3 linked regions of the Drosophila melanogaster genome follow. The protein of the gene in region 1 interacts with the protein of each later gene in a pairwise test. Each region holds a gene or a part of one and is shown on either strand. Other genes may lie near its edges. The genes, in order: CG14054, LpR1 and CG42299.

Region 1 (3,714 bases):
TTCGGCAGGTGGTGCCGTGGGTTCCTACCAGTCCAAGTGCAGCAACCAGAGTCCCAGTACAACCATGTCGACGGAAGAGTCTTCGCCGGATTCGGAGTACACAAGTGCGGTCCCCGTGGACTGCAGAGTTACGGATCTGAAGGAGAACGAAATGAAGCAGGTGGACTTCGATGAGGACACCCGCGTGCTGCTCGTGAAGCAGAACGATCGTCTGCTAGCAGTGGGTGCTAAGTGCACCCATTACGGAGCTCCGCTCCAGACTGGAGCTTTGGGTTTGGGTCGTGTCCGCTGTCCTTGGCACGGCGCTTGCTTTAACCTGGAAAACGGAGACATTGAGGACTTTCCTGGTCTCGATTCCCTGCCATGTTATCGCGTGGAAGTGGGTAACGAGGGACAGGTGATGCTCCGTGCAAAGCGATCGGATCTGGTGAATAACAAGCGACTCAAGAACATGGTCCGACGCAAGCCCGACGATCAGCGAGTGTTCATCGTGGTTGGCGGTGGTCCTTCTGGCGCTGTAGCCGTGGAAACCATCCGACAGGAGGGCTTTACTGGGCGCCTAATCTTTGTGTGCCGCGAAGACTATCTGCCCTACGATCGCGTTAAGATCTCCAAGGCTATGAACCTTGAGATCGAGCAGCTGCGGTTCCGCGACGAGGAGTTCTACAAAGAGTACGATATCGAACTGTGGCAAGGAGTCGCCGCCGAGAAGTTGGATACCGCTCAGAAAGAGCTGCACTGCAGCAATGGCTACGTGGTGAAGTACGATAAAATCTACCTGGCCACAGGCTGCTCCGCCTTCCGGCCGCCTATTCCCGGTGTTAACTTGGAGAACGTCCGCACTGTCCGAGAGTTGGCGGATACAAAGGCGATATTGGCATCGATCACCCCGGAGTCCCGCGTCGTCTGTCTGGGATCGAGCTTTATCGCCTTGGAGGCAGCTGCTGGGTTGGTCTCCAAAGTGCAAAGCGTCACGGTTGTGGGTCGTGAAAACGTCCCACTTAAGGCCGCATTCGGCGCGGAGATTGGTCAGAGGGTGCTCCAGCTGTTCGAGGACAACAAGGTGGTCATGCGCATGGAGAGCGGCATCGCCGAGATCGTTGGCAACGAAGACGGCAAGGTATCAGAGGTGGTGCTGGTAGATGACACGCGTCTGCCTTGCGATCTGCTGATCTTGGGCACTGGCTCCAAGCTCAACACCCAATTTCTGGCCAAGTCGGGCGTGAAGGTAAATCGTAACGGATCCGTGGACGTCACTGATTTCCTGGAGTCCAATGTACCCGATGTGTATGTGGGCGGTGATATAGCAAACGCCCACATTCACGGGCTGGCCCACGATCGCGTGAACATCGGGCATTACCAGCTGGCTCAATACCATGGACGAGTGGCGGCCATCAACATGTGCGGCGGGGTAAAGAAGCTGGAGGCCGTGCCCTTCTTTTTCACCCTCATCTTCGGCAAGGGAATTCGGTATGCCGGGCATGGCTCTTACAAGGATGTGATCATTGACGGCAGCATGGAGGACTTTAAGTTTGTGGCCTACTTCATCAACGAGGCGGATACGGTGACAGCGGTGGCTTCGTGCGGCCGGGATCCGATTGTGGCCCAGTTTGCCGAGCTAATCTCGCAGGGCAAGTGCCTCGGTCGTGGCCAGATCGAAGACCCGGCCACCCGTGAGGACTGGACAAAGAAGCTTGGCCAGCCGTTGCCCCAAGTTCGCTAAATAATCAACTTAATGTGTATTACCGCTGAGATTTGTTGTTATATTTTCATGCAATCGTTGAGTATTTATTATGGGTACTCGTATGCAAAACTCTATAAACGTGTAACTATATCTGTGTATATTTATAATTGTAGTTGTGGGGACTTCCTTGAGTTCCCGCCGCGGTTGCCACTTTTGGCCCAAGAGATCAAAGATGTAAGCGTTTCATTCCCTTGCCACACAATGGCGTATTGGTTTACTTTTGCTAAATAAAGAATTTTAACGTTTCGTATTTAAAACAATAGTTTTGGCTTTTTTCCTATTGATGAATTTCAAACAAGGTCGTTAGCTCCTCGCTTCACCCGTTAACTTACAAACGGTTTTATCCGTGAGTATTTCCGTACTTTCCACACTTGCTTATTTTTACACAGTCTAACTAATTGTTCGCGTTCAAACCGAAATTCCAAATTAGGAACGTAACTCTAGAATCGATGGCCTCACCTAGTCGGAGTTCCCAGCGATCCCTGCTTAACGCAGGCCTCCAATTGTTTACCACAAAGCTGGGTAGGACCCAGCACACGGTATGGCTTTTGAAAATGGTCATGTGGGGTGTACTAACTTACCACTTTGTCGGCGAATAGCTTCCGCTGAGTGATTTATCCTCGCTGCATGGTGTCGACCTACATCATCAGAATACTGTACCGACTGGGATGTCCCAGCAGCTGGCGGATGTCCAGAAGCGCACCCAATTTCTTGAGGAGCGGAACCGCCAGCTCAGGAATCTGGTTTGTAAAGATTCGTCCGACCACTGTTTGTAGTAAAAGCAGTTCCTCCTCAGGCGCTGGATAAATCTGACCTCTTCGAGTCACGAACTGCCATGCTGTGCTCCCGAGCTTTCGACATCAGTCAGGAACTGTTCGTAACCAGGATGAGGATTAACGACGTGGAGAACGCCTGCACTGAACTTCGAAGGTATTGTACTGACCGCAGTCGTCTAGTTGGGCTATCTAGTCTGTTCTTCCACAGTCGCATCCTGGACGTAAAGCTGCGACGCATCCAGCGTCTCCGGCTCCTCTGCCACGAGATACAGAAACTGCAAGAAGCACTGGAACACCAGCTGCCCCCGATCCTGATGCACGTCTGGCACAGACTTTGTTTCCTATGGAACTGTGTGGACTGCCTGGCGCTTGTGTCCTGCGGGGCCCGTCCCGTCTTCGAGGCAGAGAGCAAAATGGATAAAATGGATGCCCTCAATCTCTTCGTGGCGGGCTTCTGACATGTTCCGCCTTGTCCTGGCCCTTTAGTATTTTAAACACTGGTTATCGAGCACCGCCGAGTTATCGACAGTAATCGGCTAATCGAGTCGGGAAAAAGTTACTTTAAACCATTGTAAATCACTATAGAATACCGACACTGAAATGTAGAATGTAGTCATAAAACTTTTTTATTACGTGTTTAACCATTCTGCGACTAGTTTTTTTTTGTGCATAATATCGTAAAGCTTTAGCGATTATTTTCGAAACAACATATCGCCATATCTACTGTTGCGATAACTTTCGAAGTTACCTATCGAACTGTTTGAACAACCGATGGTTTTCGAAGACACTATCGCAAATCGCATACCGAAGTGATTTCTGGTGCATTTTTGTTTCTTGTTTGTGCACGTGCAGAACGCAAATAAATGCGCCGAGCCTGAGTCAATGCGAGCGGACAGGAGGACAGCGGATAGCGGGCGGCCATGGATCAATTCTCGCACGATCTGACGTTGGCTCTGGACCTGACGCTGATGGACAGGGCTAGTGGCGGCGTCGGTAGGTGGGGCTCCCGCCGCAGGACACGTTCCACGGGCAATCTGCGTAAGTAGCCATCGCACGCCGACTCCTGCTCGCGGTAACCCCCCTCTGCTTAGCCTGCGCCCCTCAGCCCACGGAGGACTCCTCGAGCAGTCCCACGGATGCGCTAAACCAGGGGCACCATCACGGGCATCATGGCCACCACCACCATCACCACCA
Region 2 (5,123 bases), on another chromosome or scaffold:
ACACATATGTATGTATTGGTGTATATATATATGTACATATGTTTTCCTAAACTCACACTCGACAAAACTTGAACACACGGCACGGGGCTGCAGGGCGATAAAATGCAGTGTCAATTGAAGTGCTTGATTAGGCGATTTGCGAGCGATTCGCCAGCGATTTCCAACGCCTGCAATTAGAGACGGCGGCGCACTGCAAAATATACAGAATGGTTGGCAGGGGCGTTGGTTTGGTGGGGGTTTTCCGACGGCTCTGTCATTCACAAGCATCGCGGGGTGGTGCTTGAAAAATGATTTACACGCGCAAATCATAAATTATGCCCATTTCAAGTGGACCGTTACGCCGGAGAATCCATGACAAATGCAGATGACGCCCAAGCACCGATGACGATGGTGATTGCAATGCAATCTAATGGCTGATATGATGGTGATTGTGATTGCGGGTTTGATTGAGATTTCCATTGGTACTGGGATGCTGCTAGTGCCGATAATTGTTTTGAAGATGACGCATTTTAAATGACTGACCCTAACCGAACCCATTGTCCGCTGGCTGCGATTTTTCACCGCCTCTTATCATCGACGTCAGTCAACGCAACTCTAACCAAGCCAAAAGCCAATGAAATCAAATCCACGACACTCCAGTTCAATTTCGAATTTCACACCACTTTCAATCGGACCCACACCTGGTTTGATTGAAAGCGGCGACACTTTCAATGCTAATGAGCTGCGATTCCGTTTACCAATCGCCGAAAGGCATTTCAGTTCGCATCGGTCTTCGCTGGGCATCACACCGTAAAACCTTCCGGGTCCCAAAAAAAAATCAAAAGAATTAAGTATATTCAAAATACCTATTTGATACCTGGATATAGTTTCGGTGGGCCCATGCAGAACGTCACGACTGTCGTACGATTATCGGCACAATTCTCACGTCCGGTTGTCCAGCTTAATTAAAAAATATCTTTGTTTTTCGCACTGATAAACGCGGTGGCAACGCAAAAAGGAAGTCTAGATACATACAGTCTGAAAAACGTATTTTCGTACAGTACGATGTTTAAAAGTGATCTCTGTGTGCTGATTGTGATCTCCTTGGCGTTTTCCTTACATTCAGGTTGGTACTGTAGAAAATAGGATTTTTTCCGAGGTCTGAAACTGCTCTTAATTCGGAGCCCTTAACCACTTATTTTTAATTAGACTTTAATATCAGATTGAATAATTGGCTGACCAATTACATGTACATCTAAGTACACTTTGTGCGATTACCCTATATAACCTTTGTTGGTTCGCAAACATCATTCTCAAGTTAGCACTTGAGTCCTTCTTTTTCTTTCTCAGGGGATATTTGCCCAACTTGAGTATAAAATAACAAAACGTATTTTTAAATTAAAGTGGATTCTTGGCATTACGACAAGATAATTATCACTACTTATTCAATATATTTCCACGGAATTCTGTCTAGTTGTGAAATCAGTCGCAATATTCCGAAAGTAGTATGATCCCTTATCATAAAAAATACTTTAATTTCTAAGGCGTAGGTTTATAACTTAAGAAATGATTGATCGATTCTTAATAGCTGGGATTCGTTAGCATGTTGCTTTTGTTTTTTAAATAAATTATCTCAGTTGAAGAAGCATTTAAAATTCTTGTAGTTTTTAAACAATGCTTCTGTAATAGTTGTATCTATAGATCGCCCAACGATTCCTTGCCCAATCTATCCATTCACATCAACGTACGCTCCATTGATCACTGATCAACTGGTTTGCCTTAAGAGCACCTTGTACGTTAGTAATCTTTTGGGGAGCTAAGAGTGGAATACAGCATCGATTAAATTCAGAGAGTGCTCCGATCTGCCAGATCACTCTTTATGTATCTCTTCGACGGGGTCTGGTCAGTTTCTTGTCAGTTTTGATAAGGCCACCTTAAGACGGTGCAAAAACAAGCACAATCGCAAACGACAGTTACTCTCGGCTCTCGAATTAAAATCGCTGGCGATTCGCTTAAATTTGCAGGCCAATTCTCTAAGCGAATTCAGTTGAAAAAGGCGCGTTGTGCGAAACGGGCATCACAGTTTTTTGCGGTTTATTTTCAACTTAAAAACCAAATAAAAAACACAAAAGAAACAAACAAAGCGAAATAAAAACAAACCTCATGTAATTCAAACATTCTACAGATTTAAATGCAATGATCTGTTTCTGAAATAAATTTGGAAAGACGCGATTAGCACGTGCCGCACATTCGCAGACACCTTGAAAATACCGCAAAAATAAATCAAAATAAAAGGCAAAACTGATAAGAGTTTATTTATCCGGGCGATTTGACGCGTGCTAGCTACAAATATCGGCAACAACAATATTTAATTAATTTATTTGCGCGATCGGAGGGGGCGTGGCCGTCCGCTCAACTAAATTTTAAATTATACTTCGGCTTTATTAATTGCCAACGTCAACAGAAACGTTTTTGTTTCTCTATAAAAATTAAGGGAAAACTTGTTTTTCTTGCTAATATACAATTATTATCAAATATTTTACTTATCGTTTATAATTTCCATATTTTACTCAAAATAAATGTTATTTCTCGTTAAGTACATATATAATTATTTTCAAAGTTTAATATATAAATGAATTTTCTGTGTAATTTTATGCGTTGCTTTTTTTCTCTCTTCGCATTTTTCGGTGATTTTGTTGTTGTCCGATATTTTTGCTTAAATTTTTTTTTTTCGGCCTTTTCGGTTTTTGTATTTTTTTTTAGCTACGTCGCGTTTTTGTGTGTCGCACGATTTTCAACCAGTTTCTTCAGTCTTCTCATCTCGAAATAAGAAATGTGAAGAGAGACGAAAGTAAAAGAGAATTGGCCGGATCGTGTGTTTATTTTATTTTTTGGCTGGCAAGCGATTCTTCCAATGTTTTTGCGTTAATGCTTGCGTTTATTTTTACGTTGACGCTGGTTCTTTTGGCCATTTCTCTGATTAGATAATCTCTGGCGAAGATCTCACGCTTCCTGCTTAGATAATCTATTCAACCAGGGTCACCAGAAATCACCCCACTTAATTTTCCCCTATCGAATACAGTGTCTATACAAACCTTGTAAGATCGAAGTGATAAAAGTGTGAAAAAAGCATTAAACAGACAGCATAAATTAAAGCAAAAGAAGAGTGAAGGCAAGCAAAATACCGTACCATGGCCATAGAGTCACGCTCTACGAGCACTGCAAGTGAAACCACAAAAACCGCCATAAAATCAACCACAAGCTCAAAATCTCCAGTAACATTCGGTAATCTCGGCGAGAAAAGACGCGCCGAACAGCTGTTCCGCTGCGCATGCGCCAACTTCAATCTCCTGCTCCTGACTTTAATGCTCGGATTCGGCAAATGCTGCACTGCCACGCCCACGCCGCTGAACACGCCCTCAACGAACACGCCCACCTCGGCAGTTAGCCCACATAATCCACAAACGCTGGACGAGAGCGGATCGCTGAGCAAGGTGATCGATGGCAAAGCCTTCATCAACATGGGATTCAAGTTCCTCAACGTTTCCGGAAAGATTGGCACACCCCTCGGCATAGGTGAGAAATGCATTGGCTGATTGAAAAAACCGGCGAAAATAGCGAAAAACCAGAAAAAAAGATCGCACAAGGGGGGGCACAAAGTGCGATGTTTGTTTATAGCCTAGCTTGTGCTAATTTTAGACCACAGATGTCGTCGAGGTTGAAGTCGAAAATGAAGTTTGGATACCCTGGCTTGGGGTATATATAAAATGATTCATTTAATCTTTTCAACTTGATGCCTATTTACAAATATGTAAAATGAAAAAAAATTTGTATTAATAACTGCGTTGTAGAACAAAGTAAAGTACTTAGCTTGAGCTGATAACTTAAAATTAAAGCGCGTGCAATCGAATTACAATTTAATCGTTAAAGAATTATCAACCAATGCTAAGAAGCTTTTCATTAAACTTTATTAAGCTGATAGTGTTTGAGTATTTAGTTATTAAATTATCCCCAAGCCATTGAGCAATGTAAACGATTATTTCAAAATATTACATTATCTTCGCAACTCCAAGCAATCCTCTTTGAATGGAAAGTAAGCAGTTTTGACTTATATGAGTCAATAATAACATTTAAGATATATGGCCTTTCCATTATACTGCTTAATTTATAATCATCACAATCTTGGTCACAAGGGTATCACCTGCATGTCGAGTCATTCAAATGGCTTTGCTCACTTCACACTTCGTGCACTTAAAATGGGCTCAGTTAAAAAGATACAGATACAAGCACTAATGCAGTTGCAGATACAGATACAAAAGTGCACCTTCCACTTGTTGCACACACACAGACGGTATGCGGACCTACTGTTACCGTGGTATCGAAATAGCCGAGAATTTTTTATCCACTTCCGCATTGATTTCCGCCTGGCTGACCATCGAGAATCTGTATCTTCTAATGGCTAAGCGATAGGAAAAGCGTTTGGCGTCTATCTGTGACGTTATTTTGTGGCGCGGGGCATTCCAATCATAAATCTAACTTTAAATCTAGCCACCTGTTTTGGCCAATATGGATTTACGTTTAGTGCTAGCCCCGAACTGGGGATTATCTTATCGGTCAATTTTACGATTTGTTTTTATGCATTTTTCGACCGCCGGGATTTCGCGACTTGAAGATAAGTGGACAATAAAGGGCAGTCAGACAATAGAAATTTCCTTCTATAAATCAAGAATTAATGGATTGATAGTGCAAGGAGCTTTGAATTGGTGCCATAAGTCATTCAAATGATCTTGAAAACATATAGATAAAAGAATATGAAGTGTGAAAACTACGATTGTTATAAATTAATATTTAATTTTTAAGACGTATTAGAGCAGTTATCCTAACCAAAATAATTTATTTTTATTGTTCACACATTTTGGTTTGAAACTATTTTTAAATAGCTAAATTTTTTAAGCAGTTCGCACTTTTGAAAATCAATCAACATATTGAGTGCCAAAAAATAGTCTTAAGGCTAAATCTGCCACATTTACTTGCATTTTTGTACTTTGCTCTTGGGAATCTTGGACTTTGCTCTATATATTATAAATTGTTGACAAAAAAAAACACACATTTTCTTAAACATCTCACAAAAAAACAAGGCGCAT
Region 3 (3,111 bases), about 14 Mb from region 1:
CTTCATGAAAGCGGCAGCTCCCCAGGCGGGTGCGGAAACAAATGGTCAAGCGAATAGCGCCGCCCATGACGAGGACCTTATCATGGAAGCCACCGGCGGCGAGGTCTTCTCGCTCTACGATCCCTGGTCCAAAGCCTTGATAAAGAACCCCGTGCGCAACAAAAAGTGCGGCCACATCTACGACCGCGACTCGGTGATGCTGATCATCACGGACAACATTGGTATTCGATGCCCAGTGCTCGGCTGTCCCAACAGGTCCTACATCCATCCAGCGCACCTGGTCAAGGACTCCAACCTACAGCAGAAGTTGCAAGAGCGCATGTCTGACGCGATCGAGAAAGAAACTTCCTCGGAGGAGGACGATGAACAGGCAGATCATTAATTATGCGCAACTTCCTTCTTGTCGACTAATAACGCAGCGTAAGATATCACGTTCTTGTAAGACAACCATTTGATGAAAATTTAAGGTACAACGAATAAACATGTTTTAAAAATAGTCCCGAAAAAATTTAGAGAAAATATATTAGAAGTGCAGTATGCACGTATGTATATAGTTTGCGATTTATTTAGAAAATTGGTACAAATGTAGAAACAAATGAATATATAGCACGATTGCCATCGAAATCATCGCCGAAACATTCTAGCGAGTCTTTGCCGCAGACGATCCACATCAGACTCATATGGCACCAATGGCACCTTGTCATTATCCGGATCGCTACTATCTTCAGAGGAGATCCAGACTGATTTACCATTGCTAAGCTTCGGCTCTGAATCCCCGCAAGCCATGGGGTCCTTCAGCATGGCTGCTTCCTCATTGTTTTTGGTTTTTTGCCGGAAAAAGCTTCCGGCATGGGTGCCTTGGTCAATGGGCCAGCTGTTGGCGACTTGCGCTGGAAATCTCTACAAATAACGAAGAATCTATCGGGAGCGGTGAACGGAATAATGAAATCGGTGAGCTCTATGAAGAATCGTAGGACTTCATTGTTTCGTTTAGAAAACCTATCAACTTGTATGCGTAAAGCATTTTCTTGAAATGGTCATCTTAAAAATGCTGTGCTTTGCAAATAGTTAAGTATTATCCGCTCGGATATGTGAATCAACTGAGGTCCTCACGCCAAATTATAAATGTGACTTGTAGACTGCAAAGTCATCGCCTTCTTTTTTGAGTTCTTGACACAAGCAAAAAGGGTTGCCATGGCGTTGTCATGCCCTTGGAGATAAAACCTCTAGACTCAAATATTCTTATTATGTTCCGCTGACATAATAAGTATTAGTGTTTTTATTTCATAATAAATTATGCAATTTACAGCATCGGAAATTGGTAGCTTCAGTATAATATTATCAAATATATTCAGTTTTATACCCGTTACTCGTGAAAGGGTATAGTAGATTTGTTAAAAAGTATGTAACTGGCAGAAGAAAGCGTTTCCGACCATATAAAGTATATATATTCTTGATCAGGAACAATAGCCGAGTCGATCTGATCATGTCCGTATGAACGCCGAAATCTGAGGAACTATAAAAGCTAGAAGGTTGAGATTAACCATACAGATTCTAGAGACATAGACGCAGCGCATGCCCATATTGCCACGCCCACTCTAATGCCCACAACCCAACAAAATAAAATAAATAAAAAACTTCCCCATGTTCAAAATTCTACCGATCCGCCATCTGCACTAACTGACCGACGCTAACTCACCTACGCTAACTTGACGCACATCACGATTATTAACGGTTCTCAAAAGAACGATTACACCCTCGATAGGCTGCCTGTCGAAATTATCGGTCCTAGCTTAACCGAAGCGTCAGTCTTGACATTTCGATCTAAATATTCTGGATTTGCAATTTGAAAAGCGTCTGAATAAAATTTATGATCAAAATGGACCCGAAATCCCACCAAAAGCTCTTCAGGGAAATGGCAGAAGGTGAGCCATGTGACAAACCGAGACATCTTTAACATCTTTAAAACACACCCACCCACAGTCGTGTCCAATTCCAGCGATGACGGGGAGAAGTTGCTAACCAAAAACTCTAGCAACACCATCGAGAAGTCCGAGGAAGTCTGCAAGGAGCGCCCCGAAGCTGTGGAGCAGATGCGCATCGATGTCAATAACTCACTTGAGGACACGAACTACATGAATGCGGTGGAATCAGAAGCTCAAAAGAATATCGCCGGCCTTGATGAGGACCTTATCATGGAAGACTTCGGCGTCGAGGTCGTCCCGTTCCACGATCCCTGGTCCAAGCTCCTGATAAAGCACCCCGTGCGCAACAAAAGGTGCGGTCATATCTACGACCGCGAAACGGTTTTAATGATCATCAAGGACAACATTGGCATCCTATGCCCGGTGCGCGACTGTCCCAACTTGTCCGACATCAAGTTAGAGCACCTGGTCAAGGACCCCGACGTGGAGCAGGAGTTGCAAAAGCGCAAGTCCGACAAGATCAAGAATGAAACTTCCTCGGATGAGGACTAAGAACAGGCAGGTCATTAATTATATATAAAAAGCGCCTTTAAACTTTAGATTTTAATATGACTTCAAGTCTTGTTGAGAATTAACTTTATAAATAAAAAACACTCCTTTGGAATTTTTTGATACTTTTTTATACCCGTTGTAAAGTTAAAGGCTATACTAGAATTGTTGAAGTGTATGTAACAGGAAGATGGAAACGTTTCCGACCATATGAAGTATATATATTCTTGATTAGGATCAATAGCCGAGTCGATCTTTTCATGTCCGTATGAGCGCCAAAATTTCAGGAATTATAAAAGCTAGAAGGTTGAGATTCACCATACAGATTCTAAAATTAAAATTAAATTAAATTTATTAAATTTCGCTTTCGCATTCACACTAGCCGAGTAACGGGGAATTTGACTATATCATTCTCTCTTGTTGTATATTGCAATCAACTTTTCAATAGTGAGTTAAGCGATATGTCTGTTATTCAGTAGTGACTTAAGCGATATCACTGTTGTGCATATTTGTCCATCTCTAACACTAATGTTTTGGTAAACAAGAAGAACCAAATTAGACATGAGCTACATACAATTTGAAAGCGGCAGAGAAAAGGATAAGGCGCGCCAGGAGCTCCGGGAGGCCCGGGAGGCGA

The links.
Region 2: the proteins of CG14054 (region 1) and LpR1 interact in a two-hybrid assay, tested with the Drosophila melanogaster proteins (one large-scale study listed by BioGRID).
Region 3: the proteins of CG14054 (region 1) and CG42299 interact in a two-hybrid assay, tested with the Drosophila melanogaster proteins (one large-scale study listed by BioGRID).

What each region holds. Positions count from the first base shown.
Region 1 is NC_004354.4:2,064,718-2,068,431, reverse strand, and holds CG14054 (uncharacterized protein), read left to right. Parts: upstream 1-2,072; 5' UTR 2,073-2,193; coding exon 2,194-2,283; intron 2,284-2,325; exon of another isoform or gene 2,326-2,343; coding exon 2,344-2,487; exon of another isoform or gene 2,488-2,540; coding exon 2,541-2,674; intron 2,675-2,687; exon of another isoform or gene 2,688-2,728; coding exon 2,729-2,978; 3' UTR 2,979-3,159; downstream 3,160-3,714. Other genes in the region: CG4199 (uncharacterized protein), read left to right, coding at 9-1,723; CG4281 (uncharacterized protein), read left to right, coding at 3,441-3,558, 3,612-3,714.
Region 2 is NT_033777.3:25,757,224-25,762,346, reverse strand, and holds the start of LpR1 (lipophorin receptor 1), read left to right. Parts: upstream 1-2,024; 5' UTR 2,025-2,144; intron 2,145-3,061; 5' UTR 3,062-3,170; coding exon 3,171-3,555; intron 3,556-5,123.
Region 3 is NC_004354.4:15,574,423-15,577,533, reverse strand, and holds CG42299 (uncharacterized protein), read left to right. Parts: upstream 1-1,850; 5' UTR 1,851-1,870; coding exon 1,871-1,925; intron 1,926-1,983; coding exon 1,984-2,477; 3' UTR 2,478-2,587; downstream 2,588-3,111. Other genes in the region: cerv (cervantes), read left to right, coding at 1-382; CG9213 (uncharacterized protein), read left to right, coding at 3,036-3,111.